Rhinolophus ferrumequinum: one gene and its partner. The protein of the gene in region 2 interacts with the protein of the main gene of each other region in a pairwise test. Links are inferred from orthologs where the notes say so. Each region holds a gene or a part of one and is shown on either strand. Other genes may lie near its edges.

Region 1 (7,548 bases), on a different chromosome or scaffold from region 2:
GCCCTCAGAAACCAGAGCCCTAGGCCGACCCAACTCCAGTCCTCTTTGGGATTTAAGCCTCTGTCCTCTAGTTGTTCCTCACCTGAGTCGGGCCAAATGGATGTTTTCATAGACCTGGATTTCAGGTTTGAACTGAGGAATCGAGGCATCTGGGGAGCAAGAGCCATATGGGGTATGGCAGAGAAGTCACCAGGTAACTCTGAGCTGTATTCCCTTCCCCCTCCTGCCCTGGAGAAGATGGGGTACAGAGGTAAGATGAGAGCCCACCCCTCTGCCTCACACCCACGTGCGGCCTTTCTCCCTCTGGGAGAAAGGGACTCACCTCTGCACTGAGCCCCGTGGATCCTCCGCCTCCAGAGCATGACGCTAAGGACCAAGATGGTGACCCCCTGGCCCGCTGCGAGCAACAGCGTCAAGATCCAGGGCACATCCCAGCCTGTGGAAGGGGCACAGAGGGCCGGGGAGGCATCCATGGAGGCTGCAGTAAGGGCAAGACAGGAGGATAAGGAGTGAGGCAGTGAGGGGGGTCTGTCCCTGTGCCCCAAAGAGAGGCTTCGTAAGCTTTCTTGCCCCCAAATCCACCCCCCATACACCCCCTCCCCTACTTTGCCCCTTTCCAGGTCTCTCACCCGGACCCCATGAGTCAACATGGATGCAGAACGGCGATGCTTCCCACCCCCCACACAACGGCCAGCTAACTCTGGAGCAGACAACCGGCCATAGCTCATTTCTCCTCATACCCTTCACAGTAATCTACCCTTTCAAGAGAAAATAAAAGTGCCTTCCATGTGTTCATTCTTCCGTTCACTTGCTCAGCTCCGTAAGCGTTCGCTGAGCGCCTGCCATAGGCCAACACCATAGCAGGTGCCGTGCATGCAGAGGGAAGCGCAGCCTAGCGGCTGCCATGGGTGACCTCTGTTCCCCAAATAATGGCCACTTGCTGCTCCCTCCGGCCTTGTAAACGGGTTATTCCACATCCAATAGCATTCTGCCTCTGTGTAAAGGACTTTCTTATAAAACGATTCTATTTTTTTCTCCTCTGCCTTCACTGTCAATGGGCCATTATAACATCAGTGCATACATCCTTTCTTCAAAAGACAACTCCTCCAGCAGTAATTCTTATTTTCTTCCTTTCTGCTATGGGATGTGCCACACAAATCAGATTGGCCTATTTCTAGACGATGCTATATTCCACCAGGATTCTCCTTCTCACTCTTGGCTATGGTCTATCCCCCCAGATAGCTGGCTTAACCAACCCTCTTCTCTGTTATGGAATCAGTCAATGAGAAAAAAGTCCTCCTCTTGCAAGATATGGTCAGCTCCACCAGAAATCATCCCTCCTGGACAGATTTGCCTCCTCTCTCACCTCCTCTCCAGCCAGCAGGTATGGGATGTGCCTTCCCATATCTCCCTCAGTTTACCTGCCAGGCTAAAGCTGACCCCTTTGTTCTGAGGCATGACACAGCGGATGATCCTTGGTCTACGACCCTTAGGCTCAGGAAGCCCCTCTCCAGGACACACCAAGAGCAGGGCAGCCCCATTGTTCCAGAAGGACTGTACCCGGCCCCTCACAGGACCCTTCCCCTCCAGCCAGGTCACAGAGTCCAGGCGTCTGGGGGGGACCACAGAGCACAGGAGGACAGAGCAGAGGGATCCATCTGCAGCCTTTGCAGATAGCTGGGATCCTGTGGGGAGAGAGGGACCCCTCAGTTCTTTGCCTTGGCTCCCCCATCTCCCGGTGTCCCCTGGTTTTCATGCCCCCACTCACCTCTAAGCACGGAGACATCATACACCCTCCAGTTCTGGTACTTGTGGCGCTGACCCAGTACAGCGCACCAGTATCGCCCGGCGTCTCCTTCCTTGGACCCTTCCAGCCACAAAGAGTAGTTTCCCAGAAGCTTGAGCCTGGATTCCCTTCCAGGCTTTCCAGGCTCTGCGGCTGGCCTGGCCACCTGGACTTGGGCCACCAGGACAGTGGGGGAGCCTGCTGCAGGGCTGTGGAACCAGGACAGGAGTTCGTCCCCATGCAGGGTGGGTGGTGAGGGACATGGCAGCTCCACGGCCTCCCCCAAGACCACGTGGATGGCCAGGATGTTGTCTGTGGGAAGCGGCTTGTGTGAGGCCAGAGACCTCCATCAGATCAACAAACACCCAGCGGACCTCCAAACCCCTGGCTTCCTTCCTTTCTAAGATCCCTCAGCAGTGGCCTGCCTGTGAGCACATTTCTCAAGTGACAGCTATAAAAAATGTGAGACGGAGAAAAGAGGTAGGGGCTTTCCTCGCCTCTCCCCAAAAGAGTGAGAGAATCTGAGGATAAGAGGGAAAAGGCTGGAATAGTTGGCAAACGCCCATATCTCTCTTTCATGTTTCGCCTTTTCCTTCTCCTGGAAGCATTTACTCATCCATTCTTATTTTCTAATGGAAACTCTACATGACCTGGACCCTCATTGTCTCTGAGTCTTCCCCAGTATTAGAGGCAGGGGAGGTGAGTCAAGGTAAATCTATCTTCTTGAGTCAGATGTCTTCCCCAGGTCTTTAAGGAGAAACAGTGACAGTGCCTCACGACCTTGCAGAATCCCTCACCTCCTGCTCCTTACCTGCAGCAGCATGGGGGGCCCCACAGAGGAGCAGAAGGAGGAGGAATAAGACCGCCATGTGGAGAGCCTGCCAAGTTCTCTTGCCTGGGAGCTGGTGTCCCCAGGGAGGAAACAGCCCAGATAAAGGCCCATACTCCCTGGTCTGGAGTGACATGGGCCTTTGGAGGGGATGGGAATGCTGGAAAGATAAAGCCCAGCTGCATGGTTACTGGGGAAAAAGTGACCAACACTTTTCTGCTCTGAAGGAAGAAGACCTAGTCTAGGCCATTCCAAAGATGACCTCCTTACCCTCTGACCCCACGTAGGTGAAGGGACTCAGATCAAAGACTCTTCGTGCTAAGAAACCTGCACAGAAGGGGTCATAGCTGTCCCCCGCCTGTCAGTCTGGAAGTCCATTCTGTGTTCTCTCCTCCAACCTTAAAAGACGTCAGCCATGAGCGAAGAACTGTCTTCATGTTGGTCTCCATGGAACCCAGTACGAGACTGCATGCCCAGTCAGTACTTCAGAAATGATTTAGAATGACTTTCCTTGTGGCTGCCTGGCACACCACAGACCTCTTCTGAGCTTCTGATGAGTATATTAAGTTATTACTCAAGGAGAAGGAGAGCAGGGGCCTGGAAAATTCACTGATTCATCCCTTTGCTCCAGGCAGGGCTCTCAGAGCAGACCTTCATATAGCTCTAATAGTTTGTAATGTGTTATATATATTTTTAAGGGCTACTTATTTTTAAAAATTAGTTTTGATAAAATAGTCCATGCATACCAAAGACTATATCTGACATATAACTGTGTAATAGCTAAATAAACTGTGGTATATGCACACAATGGGACATTCCACAGCAACGAGAATGCACAAACCACAGTGACATGCAAGGCTGAATCTCAAAAAGAAGCCAGAAACAAAGGGCATGTATTGTACGTTTCCATTTATGTAAAGTACAAAAGTAGGCAAAACTGATCTAAGAGGTTAAAAATTAAGGTAGTGGTTACTCTTAGGGGGGTGGATAGCAGCTGGCGGTGATTAGAGAGGGTCTTCTAGGTGTGGTAATGTGTTCTTGATCTGGGTGCTGAGACACAGTCAATTGATGCACTTTTCTGTGTATGTGGTTACTATACTAAAAAGGCAGAGTTTCTATATTATGTAGGTGTAATGTACAAAGAAAACTAAAACCTGTATATCTATTAAGAAACAGACTATTACCATTTCAGTCAAAGGTCCTTTACGTTGTGTAACACTTGTCTAAATTTGTTCTTTCTCTTTCACTTACTTGGTTCATTAAATTTTATGTGTTTTTGAATTTTAGACAATGGTGTCATGTTGTATGTAATCTTCTGTGGCTTTCTTTTTTTTCACTTAACATTGTGGTTTTGAGATTTGTCCATGCTTAAGAGCGACGATTCATCTATTTACCAGTATTTCACACATTTAACAAAACTCAGTCTTTCTATCCATGATCATGGTGTAGCTCTCCATTTATTCAAGCCTTCGTTTACCTCTTTCAATAACTTTATATAATTTTCTTCATAAAATCTTGCATTTCTCTGATTAGATGTATTCCTAGACACCTTACCTTTTTTGTTGCTCTTGTCAAGGGCTCCTAATCCTACCGCTCGTTCCCAATGTCACTCGAGTGTCTGCCAATATTATTAAGCGATAGAAAAATGTGATTGAACTATGCCTGATAATTTTCTAACTCTCCGTGTTCCAAAGGCCTTCGTCGAATTTCTGACCATTGCTGCACCCGTAGGTCCAACTGCACGAAATCCTTCTCACGAAGCGCGGAAAATGTCTCAAGCCGGTACGAGGCGGAGCCGGTACGTGCTGACGTCAAGAGCACGCAGCACCTGGGGCGGGGCCAGCAGGGGGACCTGCTGCTGCGAGAGCAGCGGCCCGAGCCGGGGCCATGGCGAAGCTGCTGAGCTGCGTCCTTGGCCCCCGGCTCTACAAAATCTACCGGGAAAGGGACTCTGAAAGGGCCCCGTCCAGCGTCTCTGAGACTCCAACTTCAGTCACTACCCCCCATTCCAGCTCCTGGGTGAGTCGAGATCTCCCCTGGTCGGAAACATGGTACGGCCCAACCCCCTTTGCGGCCTTTGCTCCCCAGAAGCTCCCATTTTTGGAAATCGGGGGAGCCTGCTTGTCAACACAGTTGTGCGCAGAGTCTGCGCTCCTTGTGTTTCCGGGGTTAAAGTCACGCCCGTGTACTGGCCACCTCCTTTTTCGCTGTTTGCCACCGCTTTCTCATTCCGACTGCCCCTCCTTGCTTTTTCCTCTCGCGGCCCCCCACCCTGTCTGTCATGGTTCATGCCGGTTCCAGTTGACTCTTTCAGTCGTGGGAGAGACTCTGCGCGGATTCGGGAGCTGGATGGTTTTGACGTCAAACTCTCGAATTCTTCACACTCAGTAACCCTTGGTGCCTTCCCGGCTCCGTTTTATCTTCCCCTTAGTACGTTTTTAATTTCCACATGACTTCTTCAACATATCACCTATCCGCTGCTCTCCACATCATCCCGCAACCTTCCCTGAAGACCCAATGGTCATTGCACTCATGAAAGCTGGGGGTGGTGGGAGTGGTGTGGTGAGATGTGTGTACCCCTAAGTTGTCTTACTTTTTATCTGTAGTCTCAAATCATGTTTCCGGTTCCCTACAAACTGCCCCGCCACCAGCCAGCCACATTTTCTTCCTTAATCAGCCTACTCTTATTTCTGATGTCCATCGTTCCCTCTTAAAGGAACGATGTCATGGTGTCTTTCCTTTCTTGCCTAACCCCCCTCTCCCCACAGGCATCCGTCCACAACCCATTTGAAACTGGGTCGTAGTAAAAGGAGCAAAAGTCGTCCAATCCTGCTTTCACTTTTGCTTCCAAGTCCAGCCCTCTGTATTTGTTCTCATGGTCGGGGTGGGAAATCAGGTTAGGAGAGGGGGTGGGGAAGAGGGGCTTCTTCCGGAGCCAGGGATGTCCCAGGAGAGGCAGCTTTGGAGGCTGGAACCAGAGGACATACATCAGGGCTTCCAGAAGGGAAGGGGGAGGACTTGTCAATGGGCAGGGTCCTTAACGCAGGCATCTGTTTTGGCAGGATACGTACTATCAGCCCCGGGCCCTGGAGAAACATGCCGATAGCATCCTGGCCCTGGTACGTCTGCTCTGACATCTGAGACTACTGCATCTTTTCAGCCCCCTCTGCCTCTTGAACTTTGTCCTCCCCAGCCTGGGAGAACGCAGCGGCCCCAGGGTGGGGGATGCTCCAGGCTCTGCAGCAGACCTCTCCAACACACAGAGACTCCCTGTCAAGCACGTGCATACTTGGTACTCCCCTTTGGCGTGTGCCCTGCTTTCTGTGGGACAGCCTGAGCCATGAGGAAAATGTGTTTACTCTTGGGACCATTTGCAGGTGCTGAGTCCTGTAGTCCCCAGTGACCTGTCCTCCCTGGCAACTAACCTCTTTGGCTCTAGAGACAGCTGTTTTCTCTGGCAGGGTTCCTGTGGTGACATTTGTGCATCTCTTGGGACCAGACCAGGGACTGTCCTGAGCAGGGCCAATTGAAAAGGCTTGATTAACTTGAGTAGAGAGACTGGCCGTTAAATGTGATGAATTATGTCTGGAGACGATAAGAGGAAGAAAATAGAACCTACACCTAGCCTCTATTATGCTCTGACACATTGCCTTTCAACAAATATTGAGCACCTACTGTGTGCATGATGCCATACACAGAATAGGTACTTCATATGATATCCGTCAGGTTATCCACTTTGCTCAGAGCTTAGGCCTGGTAAAGGGCAGGTGTGTGTGCGTGTGTGTGTGTGTGTGTGTGTGTGTGTGTATTGATTGCTTGTCCCTGTCTCTCTGCTGCAGGCTTCAGTCTTCTGGTCCATCTCTTACTACTCTTCTCCCTTCGCCTTCTTCTACTTATACAGGAAAGGTCAGTGTGGTTTCAAAGGTGGTGGGACAGGAAACGGGCAGATTGTTGGCAGATGAGCCGACCCCCTAAAGAGGAAAGGGGACCTGCAAAGATGGCTTGGCTTCCCTCTTCCATCAGGCATCTTCTTCCTCTGAGGGCATGGCTGTCCCAGTGAGAGGGTGTGGGGTGGAGGTTGGGGCGGAACTGGGAAGAGGAGTTAAGGTGCAGTGGGGAAAGCTTCTCACGTAGTCCCTCTCTCCTCCCAGGTTACTTGAGTCTGTCCAAAGTGGTGCCATTTTCTCACTATGCTGGGACATTGTTACTTCTGCTGGCAGGTGTGGCCTGCCTCCGAGGTAGGTGGAGAGAGAGCCTGGTTTGTATCCATCACTGGGTAAATATCTATTAAGTAATTTCAGCAATTTTGTCTTGGGCCCTAAGGGGAAATAATTGAGAATGGTCAAGGCATGATCTTTTCCTTAAAGGGCTTGAATTGTAAATATGAAAAAATGACTAGGAAAGTTTGCTGTTACTTAGAAAAGCTGCATATACCCTACAACAATTTCACGTCTTTCCATATATGTTTATAATTATGCTAAACTGGAAACAAGTGCACAGCCACAGACAGGAGGACGGATAAATACATTAGGTAGATGGTGCAGTCCTGCATCAGAACGCGCCAATGTGATGCCAGGACAAGCTCAGGCTACATTCAGCAGCGCAGATGAATCTCACAAACGTGGCGTTGAGTGGTTTATGCAGTATGTTTCCACTATGTTTCCAAAGTTCCAAAGGGATGCATATATAAGTGGCAAACACTAAGGAAAACCATGGGCATGGTTATCTTGAAAGTCAGGAGTGATTACCTGGGAGCGGGAGCAAAGACGAAGGGGAGGACTTCTGCTGCGAGGTGGCTTTGTTCTCTTTCTTGACCTGGGTGATGGTCACATGAACGTTTCCTTTGTATTTTTTAAATTGAATGTATGTTTTATGTATGTGTGTTATATCTCACAATTTAAAAATGAAGAGACAAACCAAATCATTGCCCCCG
Region 2 (6,979 bases):
GTCCCCCAATGTGCAGAATTCAAAGATTGTCCTTGGAAGAGCTATCTCCACTTCTAGACTGCATCCCTGACCTTCATGACCACAGACATATTTGCTCCAGCTTCTCACTCTCCATGGAAACCACTCTGGTCACCAATGGCTTCCCTGTAGCAAAGTCAGAAGTTTGGGACCTTTCTTGAAGTCAGCTGGCAGATTAAAAGATGAGAGAGCCCAGACCTGGGAGGCAGGAGCCCTGGGTTCTGGGACAGGCTGCCCCCCCAGGGGACCATCCTGTTGGGCCTCTCAGGAGTATCTATCACCACAGAGCACCACCTTCATGGGACACTCCCTTTGGTTCCCTGCCATGCTCACCCAAGCCAGCCCCTTCCCCAGACACTCCTACCTCTCACCTATCCTTCAAAGGCCAGTGTTTCTTAGCCCTGGACTCACCCTTTGTCATCTTCTGTGGTCTTTCTAGGTGACCTCGATGTCATTGTCAGTGACTCCAAAATCCCTGTCTCTAGCCCAGATCTCTCCAGAGCCTCACACCTGGCTGGTCTTCCCTCTCCCCTACTCATACTCAACTTGTTGACTACCCCCCTTCTCTAGTGTTCTCCACCCCATGTGAGTTTACTCCCATGCACCCAGGCTTCCAGACAGTGAGTGTCCTTCCTGCCTCCGTTGAGTTTCTCTACCCCAGCTTTCCTCCTGGATCCCCCATTAGTCCTCAACCTTGGCAGGCCTGGCAAGCCTCCCCCAGAGCTCCAGCTGCTCCAGCTCTCTGGGTTTAGAGATCCTCCCCTCTCCGGAGCCTAGATTCCAGAAGCTTTCAAACCCACTCTCCCACCATTATTCTGTTGGTGTCTCTAGGTGTGTGTGCAGTGGGGTTTTTGGACAATAACTATCATTCCAGCGTTTTACTGGGGAAAAAGGAAGCACTTAAGAAAATACCTTGGGGTAGATGGGTGGCTCAGTTGGGTAGAGCACGAGCTCTGGGCAACAGGGCTGCCGCTTAGATTCCCACATGGGCCAGCGAGCTGCGTCCTCTGCAACCAGAATGAAAACAATGAGCTGCTGCTGAGCTGCCACTGAGCTCCCAGGCAGCCAGATGGCTCAGTTGGTTAGAGCATGTGCTCTCAACTACAAGGTTGCCAGTTCGATTCCCACAAGGGATGGTGGGCTGCGCCCTCTGCAACTAAGATTGACTGGACTTGGAGCTGAGCTGTACCCTCCATAACTAAGATTGAAAGGACAACAACTTGACTTGGAGCTGATGGGTCCTGGGAAAAACACACTGTTCCCCAATCAAGTCCTGAAAACACACACTGTTCCCCAATAAAGTCCTGTTCCCCTTCCCCAATAAAAATCTTTAAAAAAAAATCTATCTATCTATCTATCTATCTATCTATCTATCTATCTATCTTTTGAATGTTGAATAACTTTTCTAATGCTTCAGACCATGTCATCTGCACTCCCTCCCCCAATGAGGCCAGTCATGGGGGGGTGCTCATATCTGGAATTGGACACTACCTGAATGTAAAGACAAGCTCTGCCACTCTGCCACTTGCCAACTGTGTATGTCACCTTAGACACATTGCTTAAGCTCTGTGTCTCAATGGGCCTCAAATGTCCTTTTTTTTAAATTGGGGAACAGTGTGTTTTTCTAGCGCCTATCAGCTCCAAGTCAAGTCGTTGTCCTTCAGTCTAGCTATGGGGGTGCAGCTCAACTCCAAATCTAGTCGCCGTTTTCAATCTTAGTTGCAGGGGGTGCAGCCCACCATCCCATATGGGAATCGAACTGGCAACCTTGTTATTAAGAGCTCACGCTGTAACCAACTGAGCCATCTCGCAGCCTCACCGGCAGCTCAGTAGCAGTTTGTTGTCTTCAATCTAGTTGTGGAGGGCGCAGCTCACTGGCCCATGCAGGAATCAAACCGGCAGCCCTGTTGTTCAGAGCTCACGCTCTAACCAACTGAGCCATCCAGCCACCCCAAATGTCCTCATCTTTAAAATAGGGATAACGATAACACCGATCTCATTGAAAGAATTCAGTGAGGTGATGCATGTCAAGTACTCGACACACACTAGGTGCTTTAGAAATGTTGTAGATGGTTATGGCTGAGAAGACTGAGACTGAAAGGGGAAGGGATATGTTCCCATCCTGAGTTGTAGCCACTGCAGTCACCTAGTATAAATCACAAATAAAATGCTATCCTTCATTTCTTTTCTTTTCTTTTTTTTTATTGGGGAAGGGGAACAGGACTTTATTGGAGAACAGTGTGTACTTCCAGGACTTTTCTTTTTTTTTTCCCAAGTCAAGTTGTTGTCCTTTCAGTCTTAGTTGTGTCGGGCGCAGCTCAGCTCCCGGTCCAGTTGCTGTTGCTAGTTGCAGGGGGGCACAGCCCACCATCCTTTGCGGGAGTCGAACTGGCAACCTTGTGGTTGAGAAGATGCACTCCAACCAACTGAGCCATCTGGGAGCTCAGCGGCAGCTCAGCTCAAGGTGCCGTGTTCAATCTTAGTTGCAGGGGACACTGCCCACCATCCCTTGTGGGACTCGAGGAATTGAACTGGCAACCTTGTGGTTGAGAGCCCATTGGCCCATGTGGGAATCGAACCAGCAGTGTTCGGAGTTAGGAGCACAGAGCTCTAACCGACTGAGCCACCGGGCCGGGCCCTATCCTTCATTTCTTGATGGAGGTCTGGCTCTGGGAGTAAGTGGGAGAACTTGACTTTGGTGCCTCTCTAGACTCAAAGCACGTGTCCTCTAAGTCAGCTCCCAGGTGGTGGAGTTCTGGCTTAGGGTACCAGAGACTTGGCGTACGACAGGTGCTCCTTCTCCTTCACGAACTTCTGGTGGGTTACTCCCCTACCCTGGTTCTCAGCGTCCTCTTCTATAAAATGAAGCTTTGGAACCAAATGCGGAGAAGGTGTCTTCCTCCATCCCCAGCAGTCTGAATCTTCCTCGAAATCCCTGATCAAGAATGAGTGACATGAGAGTATGTAAAAATACTTAGAGTCTGAGATTCAGAGGACTCTGTTCCCTAGAAACCGTATGCAAAATGTGTGTAATATGTGTGTACACGTGTGAACACTGATATTTGAGCATTTTTTTCTGGGAATAACTTTCTTTAGCTTTGTAAAGGAAGTATGTGATTCCAGATTCATCACCATCCTGGCTTAGGCTTCTTTATCTTTGACCTGAACTACAGCAACAGCCTCCAAACAGGTCTCCCTACACCTTTCTCTCCCTTCAGTCTATCCTCCGCCCACCACACAGGGTATCCTTCTAAAAGTTCAACACTGACTCTGGCAACGCTGTCTCCAGTTGCTTAAATTCCCTGCATGGCATTTAAAGTCTATCAGACTTTACCCAGCCTTCTCCCCATTCTCATATCCTGCCACACCCTAATTCATTTTTCTCTGTCCTCACCCCCTCCATGTACACTCTGTTCTGGCCACAAGGAACATTTCACTGCTTCCTGAATGCGTCAGGCACTTTCACATCTCTCTTTGCATGGGCTTCCCTGTATTCCATCTGGCAAACCCCTATGTGGGCTTGAAAAATACAACTCAGGTATTACCCTTCTGTGATGTCTTCCTGACCGACCCGCTAAATTAAGTACACCTTTCTCTGCTCCCACCCCTTTATGACAACATTTATCTCACTATATTGTAATTGTGTCTTATCCTCAACTAGACACTAAGTTCTTCCAGGAGGGAAACCGAGTTCCGATTGACATGTTAATCCCCAGTACCCAGCACAGGGCCTGGAACCATGTATGTACTGGTAAAAACTATGTGAAACGAATCAGTAAAGTAATGAAGGAGTAAGTCAATAAGTGAACAGGCTAAGAACGAACAATAGCTACACCTGAACAGGTGCGCGTCGGGCTCGGCCCCACCCCTGCCCCGGGCTCCGCCCCCGCCTGAACTACATTTCCCAGAAGGCCCCGCGTCCTGGGCATGCGCACCGGAGCGCAAGGAAGCTGCGACGCGGAGTTTCACTCTGGCTGTCTCCTCCTCAGAGTCGGAGCTACAGCCGGAGTCGTGCCCAGGCCGAGCCGGAGCTGCCGCCTCAGCGCGGCAGTGCCCTCAGCCTGCCCCCTCGCCCTCCTCAGCCTCGGTGAGAGCGGGCGGACAGGCCATCTGCCGGTCGCCAGAGATGGGGTCCGGAGGGCGCGGGGGAGACCAAACTGAGTTGGGACCGGAAGGGGGCGGGCGTGGGAGTGTGGGAGGGCTGGGCCCGGCCGGACTGTCGTCCCGGGGTGAGGTCCGGGGAGGGTTGAGAGGAGTGGTCTCCTCACTGAAGATCCCGGAGGTGAGAGTTGGGGAATTAGGAGGCGCTGGGAGCTTAGGACAGGACTCGGCGCTGGGTGGGAGGGTGAACGCTAGGGTGGAAGCCGAAGGGCGAGCAGTGGGAGGGGCGCAGACCCTGGAAGTTTAGGTCGGTCGGGAGGAGTGGACCCCTTCTCACAGGACCCGCAGGAGGCGGTGGTGATATTACCCCCGGGCTACCTTGTTAGGGTGAGGGTTCTGTTGGGGTCTGTCCACAGGTGAATGACTCACTGGAGCGGGGGCTCCAGTAGAGGACTTTGCCACCTGACTCTGCTTCCCTGACCCAAGTGGTGTCTGCCTTCCGGGAAGCTCCGGTTTCCAGAGACCCTGGGTTACTTTTGTGGGGCGCATAATGTATGCTGAAGAGGATTTAGGAGACTTTTTCTGGAACTACCTACCCTTTCATCCCGACTTTGTCAGCCAGCTATTCTTCACACTGGTTCCACTTCCCTAAGTGCCATTAGCAGTGAAAGTAGTGTGTGCACAGATGCTTGAACCCTTAAGAAACTAAAAATATTTTTGCATGCTATCCCAGCTATTCTAGAGTTTTAGAAGGTGGACTTTCTAAGAGCCAAAAGGAGGCTTTAGTTAAACCATCAGAGTAACTAAAACTAGGTCTCTTGTTCATTGCTGTGTGACTTTGACCAGAATTTTACCCTCTCTGGTGTATTGATTTTCTGGATGCCTACATTACAGGCTGGCTTATAAAGTCCTATTGGGCTTCAGTATGAAAGGGCTCGGGGTTTGTGTGTGTGTGTGTGTTTAAACCATCCCCTTGATTATTGAGTAGGCAAAGGAAGACTACTGTACCTTCTGCTCTGCCCAGGCTGTTGGAAAATAAATCTGGTGGTTTCCAGTCCCCAGTCACAGCACATGGACCCAACATCTGTGCATTCGTTTTCACTAACTGCTGTTTCTCAATTTAAAACCTGATCATCTTCTTCCTTGTTGGCAAAGGTGCCTTGGAATTTGTGTCGCTGAGTCAGCAAGCCTTTCAGATTTGCCTGGTTTTTGTTGTTTGCATTTTATATCAAGATGGGAACTCGAACAAGTCATTCCTCCTAAGGATCTGGTGTCTCCATCAAGAAAGGACAGTTTGTGCCAGCTCTCCAGAGAGAGGAGGTGAGAGCCATGGGGACTTGACATTGCTGTCTTCTCAATCTGGTTTTCAGTAGAGAAGGTGGGGACTGGGCAGGGTGGAATTTGAGGTCTCCAGGATGAAAGTGAGCCTGGGAGTAGATTGTTGATTGCCAACTTGCTCAAATAAATTTAAGTGGCTTCTGGCCAACGGCTTCTCCTGTTTAACCAGTCTTAGAGGGTGCTTTCCACATGGTTTGCACTTTAAGACATGCTTTATGGGGTGAAGGACGAAAGTCATGATTTCTGCATTTGAATTGGAAATTTTTATTTCTTTTTTTGCATGAACCTTTACTAGCGTCATACCAGCTCAGTGCTGGGGGTACAGTGAGGAGCAACAAGAGTACTCTGGGACTTTGTGGTTTGGTGGAAAAGACACCATAGACAGTGACAAGGTGTCAGTGATACATGTTGAGGGGGCACTCCCAGGGAAGAGCCGCCACTCGTCCAGGAAGGTGTAAAAGGGAAGGTGGGACAGTCAGGAAGGCTTCCGGAAGATGATAACCCAAGGTGAGTTGTGAAGAAGGAGTAGGACTTAGAAAGTAGGGGCAGTAGTCTGGCAGAGGAGTTGGCATATACAAGTCGTGAAGCTACCTGGCATGTCTGGGCCACAGGGAGTAGCTTCGTGTGGCTGCAGCAACGGGATGGGTGTGGAGTAGAGGCTGCTGGGAAGGTGGATAGAGGGCTGAGTGTGGAGGGTTTCGTGGGCCATACCAAGGCTCTGGGGAGCAGAAAGATTTTAGAAGAAGAATTCCATGAGGAGCGTTTTCAATGAGCACACTGGCTGGAAAGTGTGGAATGGGTTAAATTGGATTATTCTCCTGATGACTGTTTCCTTACACCATGCCAGCTTCTGGTAGGGGGACGTAGACATGAGATTTTGCTCTCAGCTTGCTCATAGTCTCATGGATGGACATAAAAACTGTAACGGACAGAATGCTGATAAACAGGTATCTTCTTTCAGTTGGGCATGTCAAGGCATCATGGAGGTGATGTTTGAATGGGGCCGTGAAAGTTGGGTCAGGTGAGGGTGGGTGGTCAAGTGAATGGGATTCTGCATAGAGCTGAGGTACAAAGGGGGGCAAACGGGATGTATATGGGGGTAGCATGTCATCACTTAAACTCTTTGGGAGAGGGAGGTGTACATGAAAGAGGGTATTGAAGGGAAGTGCACTGGCAAATACTGTTGACGGGGAGGGACCAGATTGCGATGGCCTTTCATTGTCAACCCAAAGAACTTGAACTTTATTCCAGAAATCCAGGGGAGGTGTGGAAGAGACAGAATCAGAACCATACTTCAGGAAGCCCAGGCTTGCACCTGTCTCTGAGGTGGACTAGAAGGATAGACTAGAGTTGGGGAAGCCAGTTAGGAGAGAATATTTATCAAGGTGAGAGGCGTAAAGGTCGCAGTTGGTTGCTGGCAGTGGGGGCTGAGGAGGCAGGAGAGAGCAAGCCATGGCAGCTGTGGGGCAGTGGGGGAGAAGGTTGCGTCAGGTTTTTCTCCTAACTGCCTGGGACAGAGTGA

The links.
Region 1: the proteins of DTX2 (region 2) and ABHD16A interact in binary tests that used the Homo sapiens proteins (3 or more experiments, as listed by UniProt). The two-hybrid records come from large-scale screens. The link is inferred for Rhinolophus ferrumequinum from reciprocal best matches to the Homo sapiens genes DTX2 and ABHD16A.

What each region holds. Positions count from the first base shown.
Region 1 is NC_046286.1:2,188,076-2,195,623, reverse strand, and holds the start of ABHD16A (phosphatidylserine lipase ABHD16A), read left to right. Parts: upstream 1-4,448; 5' UTR 4,449-4,502; coding exon 4,503-4,634; intron 4,635-5,677; coding exon 5,678-5,734; intron 5,735-6,454; coding exon 6,455-6,521; intron 6,522-6,766; coding exon 6,767-6,853; intron 6,854-7,548. Other genes in the region: LY6G6F (lymphocyte antigen 6 complex locus protein G6f), read right to left, coding at 83-149, 323-478, 1,422-1,685, 1,769-2,098, 2,598-2,655. UniProt on the Homo sapiens protein: Phosphatidylserine (PS) lipase that mediates the hydrolysis of phosphatidylserine to generate lysophosphatidylserine (LPS). LPS constitutes a class of signaling lipids that regulates immunological and neurological processes.
Region 2 is NC_046290.1:92,357,807-92,364,785, reverse strand, and holds the start of DTX2 (probable E3 ubiquitin-protein ligase DTX2), read left to right. Parts: upstream 1-3,959; 5' UTR 3,960-4,105; intron 4,106-4,224; exon of another isoform or gene 4,225-4,300; intron 4,301-5,274; exon of another isoform or gene 5,275-5,439; intron 5,440-6,979. UniProt on the Homo sapiens protein: Regulator of Notch signaling, a signaling pathway involved in cell-cell communications that regulates a broad spectrum of cell-fate determinations.